Rhinolophus ferrumequinum: one gene and its partners. The protein of the gene in region 1 interacts with the protein of each later gene in a pairwise test. Links are inferred from orthologs where the notes say so. Each region holds a gene or a part of one and is shown in the gene's direction. Other genes may lie near its edges. The genes, in order: CREB3, PTPN9 and FMO3.

The links.
Region 2: the proteins of CREB3 (region 1) and PTPN9 interact in a two-hybrid assay, tested with the Homo sapiens proteins (2 studies listed by BioGRID and IntAct). The two-hybrid records come from large-scale screens. The link is inferred for Rhinolophus ferrumequinum from reciprocal best matches to the Homo sapiens genes CREB3 and PTPN9.
Region 3: the proteins of CREB3 (region 1) and FMO3 interact in binary tests that used the Homo sapiens proteins (3 or more experiments, as listed by UniProt). The two-hybrid records come from large-scale screens. The link is inferred for Rhinolophus ferrumequinum from reciprocal best matches to the Homo sapiens genes CREB3 and FMO3.

What each region holds. Positions count from the first base shown.
Region 1 is NC_046295.1:51,914,467-51,918,212, forward strand, and holds the start of CREB3 (cyclic AMP-responsive element-binding protein 3), read left to right. Parts: upstream 1-1,429; 5' UTR 1,430-1,548; intron 1,549-1,634; 5' UTR 1,635-1,643; coding exon 1,644-1,772; intron 1,773-1,863; coding exon 1,864-2,011; intron 2,012-2,085; coding exon 2,086-2,153; intron 2,154-2,276; coding exon 2,277-2,366; intron 2,367-3,483; coding exon 3,484-3,590; intron 3,591-3,700; coding exon 3,701-3,746. UniProt on the Homo sapiens protein: Endoplasmic reticulum (ER)-bound sequence-specific transcription factor that directly binds DNA and activates transcription. Plays a role in the unfolded protein response (UPR), promoting cell survival versus ER stress-induced apoptotic cell death.
Region 2 is NC_046289.1:99,925,943-99,929,688, reverse strand, and holds the start of PTPN9 (tyrosine-protein phosphatase non-receptor type 9), read left to right. Parts: upstream 1-1,260; 5' UTR 1,261-1,857; coding exon 1,858-1,920; intron 1,921-3,746. UniProt on the Homo sapiens protein: Protein-tyrosine phosphatase that could participate in the transfer of hydrophobic ligands or in functions of the Golgi apparatus.
Region 3 is NC_046305.1:7,196,786-7,200,531, forward strand, and holds the start of FMO3 (flavin-containing monooxygenase 3), read left to right. Parts: upstream 1-1,162; 5' UTR 1,163-1,231; coding exon 1,232-1,363; intron 1,364-3,746. UniProt on the Homo sapiens protein: Essential hepatic enzyme that catalyzes the oxygenation of a wide variety of nitrogen- and sulfur-containing compounds including drugs as well as dietary compounds.

The sequences.
Region 1 (3,746 bases):
CGTGAAATTAGTTTGTCATTTCTCTAGGTCAAAGAAGCCCCTGCAACTACATAGGAAAAAGAGACTTCACCACCGCAAAACAAGGACATCCACCTACTGCCAATGTTGTAACTTTTACCTGCTTGAAGTCACTACCCTAACCTCAACCACCACCTCTAAAACTGCCCCTAATTTCTAATATTAACCTTGACCCTAATTTGTTTCCTGTTTCCCAATACCGGTTTTGACATTCATCCCTTCCTGGGAAGATACCTGTATCCAATCCCTGATCCCTAATATTGATAGAATTTTTACCTTTAGCACTAGATCCTCTGACCTTAACCGTAAATGTTGACTCCTAAACCTATAGCTCATTTGTCAGTTGATTCCTGACCCATCCCTTCACTGTTTGACCCTAATACGCCACGGTTCTCTAATCCCTGAAACTGAACTTCTAACCTAATTCCTGTTGTTGACCCTGAACTCTAATTTTGACTTACTCTGGCCATCCTAGAAAACAAAATAATGACCTTAATCCAAACTTTATCTATATAAAAGGGACCTGGCTCAGGCTAATAACTATAAATTTCAACCCTGGCTCTATAACTCCTAAAGCTAACCTGATTCCTAAATCTAATTTCACCTAATCCCAAACTCACCCAACGCTTTCCTAGCAGCTAACCTCAAAAGCCGATCCCCACCCTGCACCTCACTACCACCCTACTTCTCATCCTCCCCAAAACCTATCCCAGACAGAAGACTGCTCCCAGGAAGGGCCTGGCTCCCGCAAAACGGCCTACCTAACTCCGAGCCCAACCCCGGATGCACTGGACGCTGACCCCTCCAACAAGACCCGAAACAGGAGACGCAGGAGAGTTAGGGGCCCCGCCTGCCCACCCGCCTCCCCGGCCTGGCCTCGAGGCCCCACCTTGAGACTCCCCCTTGGCCCAGTCCAGCCTACCTGAGCTGCCCGGCTTGTGCCCCGCCCGCTGGCCCGCTAGCCCGTCTGTTCTCCCGATGGCTCTCGGGCTCCGGCCTCGCCCTCCCTTCGGCACTCTCGGCCACTTCCGTCCCTGGAACGTCCCCCACCCGCGGGCGGCGCCCTGGGCCCGCGCTCTATGGTTGCGGGGGACGGCAGGAAGCTGCTCTGGCCCCAGCTCTCGATGCTCGGGAGCGCGCTGAAGACCGTCTGGCCCTCCCCCGCAGGAAGCAAGGGTGCGGCGCAGTCCCGGGGAAACGGCCGAACTGCACCGCAGTTCCTTTGGAGTCTGATCCTTCCTTATTCTAGCTTGGGGCAAAGGCGGCGCCGGCTCCCCAGAATGCCCGCCCTCAGGGTGTGAGGAAGCAGCAGGGACCTCCCCTGTATTTGCATAGCTCCCGGGACGTGGCGCGGCACCTAAGCCACTTCCGCGTTTAGAGAGAACTTTAAGTCCCGGGATGCTTTGGGGTAGGCGTGTCACTTCCGTTGTGTTGGAAGCTGCGGAGAACCGAGTCTCGGTGGCGGGTCTTGTTTGAGAGCTACGACTAGTAGCTACGGGGAAAGCCGGCCGAATAGGGACTAGCGGATAGGTGGGGCTGACTCACAATCGGTGAGGGTCGTGCATGGGGCCGGGTGGAAGGGTGAACTCCTGCGCTTGTGCCCATTCTTTCTGTAGGTGGCCCATATGGATTTGGCGTTGGACCCGGGTGACCAGGACCTGTTGGCCTTACTACTAGAGGAAAATGGAGATTTGGGGGTGGCGTCCGATGCGTCCTTCGAGGCTCCACTGGACTGGGAGTTGCCGATTTCCGAGGTGGGCGGGGGCTCTGAGCCCGGGAGGTGGGGGGCGGGGTGTTCTTGAGGATGGTGGTAGGTCAAGGCCTGTTAATTTGAATCCTGTTCAGGCACTGAGCGATTGGGATGTAGAGGATTTCCTGAGCTGCCTGACGAGTTTCCCAGCATCGTCGAACGTTCTCAACAGCTCGAATCCCTGTCTGGTCCATCATGACCACACCTATTCTCTCCCACAGGAACATGTTTCTATAGATCTAGGTGAGTCTGAAATAAGTGAATTTTGAGGGGAGGAAGGGACTCATGAACCTGGCTATTCACTTTCCCTTTTGCAGATAGTGGGAGTTCTGGAAAAGAGGAGGCCCAGATGACACCCCTACATGTGGAGGAGCCCGCAGAACAGGTACTTTGTTTACTGGAGGATTATTCCCACATTGCACATTATTCCCACATTGCAGACAGGATTCCTCATTCCTCTCTGACATGCTCCCTTGTGACTCTGCCTCCCACCTTTCTGTAACCCCAGGAGATTGTTAGGCTGATACTGACAGATGAGGAAAAGAGGCTATTGGAGCAGGAGGGGCTTACTCTGCCAGAGACATTTCCTCTCACTAAGGTAAGACTCCCAGTGGTGGATCAAAGACTGGAGGGGTGAGGATTGAGTCCCAAGTAGTCCAATTCTGTTAATTTTTCATCAGTAACTTACTAAAGGACGAAAGTGAGAAATTAAGCAAATTTGCTGCTAATAGGAAGCCGGGGGATGTAGTTATATACTGGATGCAGGGGCAGATCCTGGTTTTGTGGGGCTTACACAAATTTTGGTATTCTTTGTAGGAAAGAATTCAAAATTACCAGTGCATTAGTTAGTATAGGGACTTGGAAAGGACTGTGCAAGCAAGGGGCTCTGACATTTAGATTTCACTAGGTGGATTACCATATCTATCTAGCTGAAAGGTCGAATTAAGTTTTAGAGTTCAAGACTGGACTTAGTAGTATAACAAGAATAAACGTAAAATCTTGAGTTTTAAGTTTCAAGAAGCAATGGGTGGCAGTCTCGCAAGCATAATATTGTGATACTGTGATGAGATCAATGTTCATTGACAGAAAGGTTAAAAGAGTTTCTTAAAAGTACAAGATGAGTCAGCAGTGTGATATGGTCACTAAGAAAGTGAATGGGGTTTGGAGGCTGTATCAATAGAGGTATTTCCTCTAGAAGGGCAGTGACTATCTTGCTCTCCTTTATACTGGTCAGAGCATATCCTAGTGCCAAGTTTTGAGTCCAGATCTTTGACAGATAGTAAAAGGAGTAAAAGGACACAGTCCATCCTGAGGAGGTAAGATGATGAGTTAAATATTTTATCCCACCCCCCAAAAAAGTTGCCCAGATTTATCTTTGCTTGGAGGAAATGTTGAGTGTCTTAAAATAGCTGAAGACCATTTGTTCTGTATAGCTCCCGAGATTAGGTATGAGGTAAGTCCAATGGATAGAATTATCGAAGCAGATACTGGCTCAGGATAGGGAAGATTAATTTTAATTAATAAAATTGTTAAAAATAGTCTGGCTTATGAGGGTGTTAACACCTAGTCCTCAGAGGCATTTAGCCAGAAGCCAAGTGCCTACTGGTCAAGGAAGCTGTAGAAGGGATTCGTGCATTGGCAAGATTACTCAGTTGCCTTCCAACTCTTTGGTCCAGTGTTCTGTGATGATACCCCTTTTCCCTGTATTATCTCAGATGGAGGAACAAGTTCTGAAACGAGTGCGGAGGAAGATTCGCAATAAAAAGTCTGCTCAAGAGAGCCGCAGGAAGAAGAAGGTGTACCTGGGGAGTTTAGAGAGCAGGTATAAACAGGAGAGGGGCTCTGGGGTGGGTGGAACAGAAGTAGCTGGAAGTGATATGTTTTTGAAGGGAGGATACAGGCCATATCCCCACATCCCTGTTATTCCCCCAGGGTCTTGAAATACACAGCCCAGAATTTGGAGCTACAGAACAAAGTA
Region 2 (3,746 bases), on another chromosome or scaffold:
TGGATGAAACCATTGTTTGGTTCATCGTGGTAACCCCAGTACATAGCCCAGTGACTGGCATGTAAATGCACTTGTTAAATAGCCGGTCTTCCAGAGAAGCGTCTGGTCGCAATCCTGAAACTGGAACTGCTCTGGGAGGTTATGAACTCAACCCAGTCAGCCTGGTGTAAAGGATAAAATAACCTACCTGAGTACCAGGATTTTCTTCTCGAACCAAGGGCACCCTGAAGTTCCTGTTGCAATGATGCAGAAATGAGGTGAGGTCAGAGGTGGCTTCGAAAGTCCTGGGAGAGTATCTTCAAGTTGTCTGAAGACCCCTCCCTTGGGTCTCAATTTCTCCAGGCTTTCAGGCCTTGGGACTGACTAGCTGTGGCACTTGCTTGTTCGTTGGGTCCCTTTAAGAATATTTTTGGTCTGGACTGATGTAAAAACATAGCAGACCCAGTCCTGCCTTCCTTGTGACTCCCGAACTGACTCCAAGACTACTCTGTAAGAGCCCCAAGGTTTTTGCTACGCGCCTGAGTGAAAATCAAAGGCTTGCAAAAGCTGCGTGATTTCTGTATGAGGTTTCTAAATCAGATGCTGTTTTTTTCCGAGGGACTAAAATTACCTATATTGGCAATAAATGACAGGATACAGCAAGAACGAGCGAGCGGTAGGGCCGAGATGAGCGTCCTGGACCTCCCAGGCAACCTTTCCAGGCGCTTTCAGTCAGCAAGTGACAGGGAAATAGATGAGGACTGTGGGTTCCTCACTTGCAGGTGGGAGCGGACAGCAACCCCGAGGTGCCCGTCGGCAGCTGCATTCTCTTCCTCCTCCGTGGAACTTAACCTTCCTTGTAAACCTCACACTCACCTTTTTCTCGCTCCCCACAGTCCCGAGTCGTCAAAGTCCCTCGCCTGCCCCCCCCCCCCACTCCTCGAACTTCCTCAGCTTTGCCTCCTCGAGCTCCTTTCCCCCATCCCGCCTCTCCTCGGCCTCTCCCTGCTCGAGCTCCTCCCCCCTCCTAACTCCTCTCCCCCCACCGCCAGGCTTCCCCCTCCTCCAGCTCCTCTCCCCTACGCTCCCTCCGAACTCCTCCCCCCACCGCCTCGCTTCCCCCTCCTCGAGCTCCTCTCCCCCATCCCGCCTCTCCTCGGCCTCCCCCTGCTCGAGCTCCTACCCCCTCCGAACTCCTCTCCCCCCACCTCTTCGCTTCCCCTTCCTCGAGCTCCTCTTCCCACCCACCGCCCCCGGGCTCCTCTCTGTCGCCCCCTCCCGGACTGCGTCCGCGCTCAGCGGCCCTGCTCGCCGCCCGCCCATTTGTGAATGAGACGCTCAGTTTCTCAATGGAGCCGCGGGGGGCTCGGGCGGCTGCAGGGTTGGCCGTGAGCCGGGAGGGGGGTGCGCGGCCCTGTCCCCTCCCTCTCCCTCCTTCTGGCTCGGAGGCTTTTGAGGAACGGCGCTGAGAGGCGGCCGCGCGGGTCGCCGGGCCCACAGCCGGAGGAGCGGGAGCGCCGCCGAGGAGGCCGGCAGCCTTCGCTCTGGGCCTGGAAAGTTCTTGATTTCATATTTCCTTTTTTCCTCCCGATTCCCTCAGCTCCCCGCCTGCACTTTTTCTTTTCCGGGAGAGGAGGGGGAGTGTGAGGAAAGGAGCAGAGAAAATAAACAAGGATTTCCGCCCAGAAGACAGCGACAGCTCAGAGCGCCTTCTCGTGAGGACCCAGCGGCGGCGTTCGTGGGCGCCGCGGGCGCGGGCCCGCCGGCCCACCATGCGCGAGCCGGCCCCGGGCTGCTGAGCGCGGGCACGAGGGAGCCAAGGCCACAGCGGGGCCCCGGCGCTCCGGGCGGGTCCTGTTCGCGGGCGGCGGCGGCGGGATGGAGCCCGCGACCGCACCCCAGGCCGACATGGCGCCGCAGCTGACCCCGGAGGAGGAGCAGGTAAGCGGGGCCGCGGCGGTGGGCGTGTCGGACCCCTGGGGCCTACGTGGGTCCCTGCCCGCCGCGCGCTCTCGGCGCCTGGGGCCCGCGGTGGCCTCCCCCTGGCGGCCGCGCCTCTGGCCGTCATCCCCTGAAACCGGGGCGCCACCGGACGCCGCTTCTGCTCCGGACCTCCTCTGTCCCCTTCGGCCCCGGAGGCTCAGGCCTCGCATCGCCCCTCCCCCCACTCCGGAGGTGATTAAAGTTCCTGGACCTGGGGGCCTTCCTTTCTATCCACAAACGCCCCCGCCCCCGACGTTTGCAGAACAGCTCCTTCCTTCGGTCTTTGCACACTATACATATTTTGCTGCTTTCCGTGCGGGTTTTGTTTCTTTTTTCTTTTTCTAAGGGCAAGAAAAGCTCACTTTGGGGGATGGGCTTCTGCGGGGACCACCGCCCCTCCCGAGGACAGTCATGGTAGGCACTGGGTAGTAGATGCCCTAGATTTTCAGACGAGCCCCTCGGGCTTATCCCAGGGCCGTGGCAGGCCTCTTTGGACACATTCTGAAAGATCCAGGCCTTCTCACGCTCCCCAAGCCCCTGGCCTTGACTGCCCCATTCCTCTCTCTTGGTCTGGGCACATCCCCCACTCACACTTCCCTACCCCCATCTCACCCCACTGTCTACATCTTTCCGAAGTCTACATTGAGCTCCATTGTGCCTTAACTCTTAATGACCTTCAGTTCCAGAAGGAAGTGGTTTGCGGTGTCATTTTGGGGGCTTGGGTAAGGGAAAAATCGGGGCCCTTGCAACTTTCACTCTCGCACATTCCTGCGGGGGAGACGTGGACCACTCCTTCTGAGAAAGATAGGAAAGCCTGCGGCTGAGATGGGAACCGTAAAGGCTTTTCGCTGTCTCTTTGGCACTGCCCATATCCGGCCTTAGCTGTTTTCAAAACGAGCCATAATCTGATTCCATGTTTTAATAAAAATCTGAAATAAGAAAAGATGAACCGTGCTGGTCACCCATTTCGACCTCTCCAGCCCTTGTTCCCAAGAACCACATTTGGTAGCACAGTCTCTAGTGTGGAGACAGTCTGGTTTTACAAACTAATATTGGTTAATGGGTTTCTTTAAGACGTGATTGTTAAAAAGCCCTTGACTTTTCTCCTCATTTGTGGAGATGACATGTTTTCATATTTGGCCTCAGACCGCAGTCTTACCTTTTGATGTTTTGAGATAAAATCAGCCTGGGGGAAAAGAATTCTGCTCCTCTGTACAAGCATTCTGGTAACTGCAGTTGGGTGTTAATAAAATGCTAGTGAGGGCCTAATGCAAGCAGGTGGCCAAGGAGTCCATCCTGCCAGAATTAGAGAAATGCTTTAGTACTAGGGTGTAATGTGTTAGGTTGATTTTTAAAGGGGCAACACTCTCACTTCTTTTTCTGGAGTTAGTCAGATTTAAAATTTCTGTGTTTCTTAAGACTTAATGGCATTAGTGTTCCACTATGAAAATGGCATTAGGTTGCAAATGAAAAAAAAAACACCAAGGAGAGCAAATATTGAAGCATTGATAGTATTGCTAATGTTGTCTTCACCCTGTATATAGTGTAAATATGCAAGTGTGTTTAGTAAAAATCTATTACATTGAATGGGTGTGTTGGGCATTAACAAGGACTGGATGGGAACAAAATATTTGTATATTAAGATCAGGAAGTTAATGTGGTTTTTTATAACCATACCTTTTCCTATATAATGCCAAGTTCTCTGCAGGCATTTCAAAATGTTGAAACACAAAAGCAGCATAGTTCCAAGCAGCACAGTTCCTTCCAATTATTGTAATGCCTGA
Region 3 (3,746 bases), on another chromosome or scaffold:
GTCTGCCTTCAACACAGCTCCTGCTGTCAAGCAGGCTTAGCCAGAACGCACTGGTCACCTGCGCGTGTCCTTTGAGTAATTTTCTATCCACCGACCCCCATCCTACTCCTTGGCGATAAGTCTCCCCTCGCCCTTGTAGTCAATCTCTCTCTGCTACCGCGAAACCCCACTGGGGGACCGTGTTTCCCTGAAAATAAGAGCGGGTCTTCTGTTAATTTTTGCCCCATGAGAGTTTCTTTTCAGGGGATGTCTTATTTTTTTCATGTACAACAATCTACCTTTATTCGATGACAGTCACATCATCTTCTTCTAGAACATCCTCAAAACTAAACGTGGCCGTCTGGCTGATGCTCTTAACTGGGGCTTATTTTCGGGGTAGGTCTCATTTCCAGGGAAACAGGGTCGTACCCCAGAATGATGTCGGCCTTATTGTCTTGAACAAGTGTCTGAGTAATTACCGTCTACCACTGTGTGCCAGGTCCATATGAGGCCTGTGCCTGTGATTTCTAGTTCTCACAATCATCCTGCGGGGTAAATACTCAGGTTTACAGCTCAGAAACCTCTGAGGCTCCCAGGGGCAGCCGAATTCAAACCCGGGAAGCTCTACAGGAGAGCTGCCAGCGTTTGGGAATTTGCGGGCGCCGGTGCGCGGGCTCTCACCGTCAGCTCTGGGAAGCGACTGACATTCAGCGCCCTGGAGGCCGGCGCGGCCCAAGCCCCGCAAGGCGCTGGGCAGCGCCGGCCGATGTGTTCTCCATCCTCCGCCCTCAGCCACCACAGCATCCCGGAGAGCGAGACTCCGAGCTTCGGTCCCTCAGGGTTCCCTCTCCCCAGGCTCAGTTCCAGCCTTTGGGGGAAGACAGGCGGCAGGGGTCCGATGTCGGTTACAGTCCAGACAGGTGATTGGAGAGCCCGGCGGGGCCCACAGGCTCCGGGACAGAAAGCCGGGTCGGGACACAGGAGTCTCCGTGACCCCAGCGTCCGCTCACAGCCCCGCCGCCCCACCCCGCACTCGCCGCGCCTCCCTGCGCACTCCCAGGGGCACAGCGCTCATCCCCAGGCCAGGTCACCGCTCCCAGGGGCCTGGCCGAGGGCGGGGCCAGGCCTGCCCTGGAGGCTATATATAGTGTGACAGGTCTGCCCAGGCCCAGGCCGGCAACTCCATTGCAGAATCCTAAGTGTCCAGGGACACTCTTCTAAAGAACCTCTCCAGACCTTCCTACAGGAGACCATGGGGAAGACAGTGGCCATCGTCGGAGCTGGGATCAGTGGCTTGGCTGCCATCCGGTGCTGTCTGGAAGAGGGGCTGGAGCCCACCTGCTTTGAAAGGGGCGATGATGTTGGAGGCCTGTGGAAATTTTCGGTGAGTGGCACATCACTGGGACACCAACAGAAGGGACAGGGGCTCTATAGCCAGTGCAATCTGATCATTTCTAATTCAGACTTAGAGGCAAGTCCTAAAATTTCCAGATCTGGAAAGTAAAATCTTCTCTCTCCCATCCCACTAATGTCCAACCCTTCAAAACAACCATTTGCGCACGCCATCAGGGCTTATCCTGAAAAGGACATCTCCAGCTTATTAAATAATGTCACCAGCCTGACAGATCTCCAGGCTCTAATGTCAGTAATTAGCCAAAATAGGGATTCTATGTCTATTGCTCTTAAATCCCTGGAACATGGGGGGAAAGAAAAAGAAAAACCTTGACTGGGGTCAGAAGTCCCAAGTTCTAATCTCGATTCTCAGGTTTTCTAAGTAGATAGATTTTAGGCAAGTCACTTTTTCCTTTCTGGACCTCAAATGCTCATTTGTCAAATGCAGAGATTGGAAGTGAAGTTACCTTTACTGTGCCTTCCAATTCTAAGGGGCTATGATTCTATAATGAACTCATGTCTATTGGGCAGACATTGTAAGTTATTATAAATGATGATGGTGTGCATTGTGTGTGGTTGTCATATACTCTGTGAGCTCCAAATCCAGAGGAAAAAACGATTGTCTCTGCCATTCAGGCTCATTGTTGTAGAACTAATATCATCAGGAAATATTCAATATAAACACAATTTTTAAATTTCAAAGCTGGGTTTGGGGAAACTTCTAGCCTTTCTGTCGTGAATTTTCCAACCATTATTATTGCTATAGATGATACATGTTTGGTCTGAAGACATTACATCCACATCATTCATCTTGCAACTATATTCTCTCCTGGGCTCGGTTATAGCCCAACCTACAACAGGTTGCTCTAACAGAGTATGTTGGTGCTAACTCAGAACACATCTGTATTTATCTCAAGAGCATTTCGCAAAACAATTGGGGGTGCCTATAAGCCTGAAAGCATTACATAAGACATAAGATCAGTAATTTTTACTTTTCCTTAGGGAATAATCAAGAGAGTGGTGGTGGTGGTGGTGGTTGTTTACGAATTCAATTTTATTTACATTTGCTCAGGGAGATGTGGCCATTTAGCCTAAACGATGAAATGGTTCTCTGTTATCTCATTAGCAGCAATTAAATGCTGCTTGAGCATCTATTTTGCCCAAGTTGTGTACTAGGTACTAGGCTAATATGTGACATAATCACGCTACATGCATGGGTTCTACTCCCTTTGGTGAAGCAAACCATCCTATAGGTCTACAGTCCTTTGATGGAAAGGGGGCAAAGCCCATTGGATGGCAAAACCTGTCCTGAAGTCATATGGTCAGATAACATGAGTGGAAGCCACAAGGCTACGTATAGCCTTCCTCTGGCCCACTCCGTGCTCCACTGCAAAAATTTTATTACATTTGCTTGTAAGGTGCTACCCAAAATCTCACTAGGAGTGCTATGGAAAAACATTTCCCCAGATCGACAAATTCCAAAATATACCTGGCCCTAAGAGTTTCCAATAAGAGATCACAGTACTTTATAACAAGATAGCCCTTGGTTGACAGTCAACTTAATGAACACGAGCCTTGTGAGTTAGAAAAGGGTGGACCACTGAATTCTTAGCAGGTCAGGAGAGACTTCCCGCAGGGATGGCACTCAGCTGAGAGTTGAAGGACGTCCTCAGACACGGAAAGTAGAGGAGCACCGTGTGACACAACTGCGGGGAGTGCCGTCCCCACTGTAATGTGTGGAGGGTGCCCTGTAGACAAGCAGTCACCGATAGTATGCCAGGACCATGTGAGAGAGGTTTCTAGGTTGGGGTGACCAGCAAGCAATGCATAAACAGCACGGAAAAGGCTATGAATGTGGACTCTCCAGGGGTCTGTAAGTTAACCAGTGCAGCCGGACCAAAAAGCCTATCTAATGAAGCAACAGGTAACATATCGATAAGGTACAAAGTCAGACTCTGGGTTATTCAAAAGAGGGGTTATCTCTTTCGGTAAGGTCACTGTATAGAAGTGGGATTATATCCTGTGAGGATGTAAACACATGCAAATAGTCAAAACTTCGGCCCCTCCACCCACCCACCCCTTCCTTCTCTTTGAAGAAAACTTGCTTGGTACAATGTGTGATCAGAGAGGGATTTCGGCAAATGTGTTATATAAGCTTCCATCTGGCAAGTCCTGTTAGGCAGAAGGTGTTCCGGGAGAGAAATCTGATAACTTTGAACCATTCACTGTGTGTTTCTCCTGTACAATGAAACCAAATTAGGTTTAAACACTAGTAGGCTGAATAGCATGTTTTGAGTTTCCTATACTTTACTAGGACCTCCTGACCTCTGAAGCTTTTAATCGGCTGTAATAAGAGGCTGCTCAACAAGTTGTGT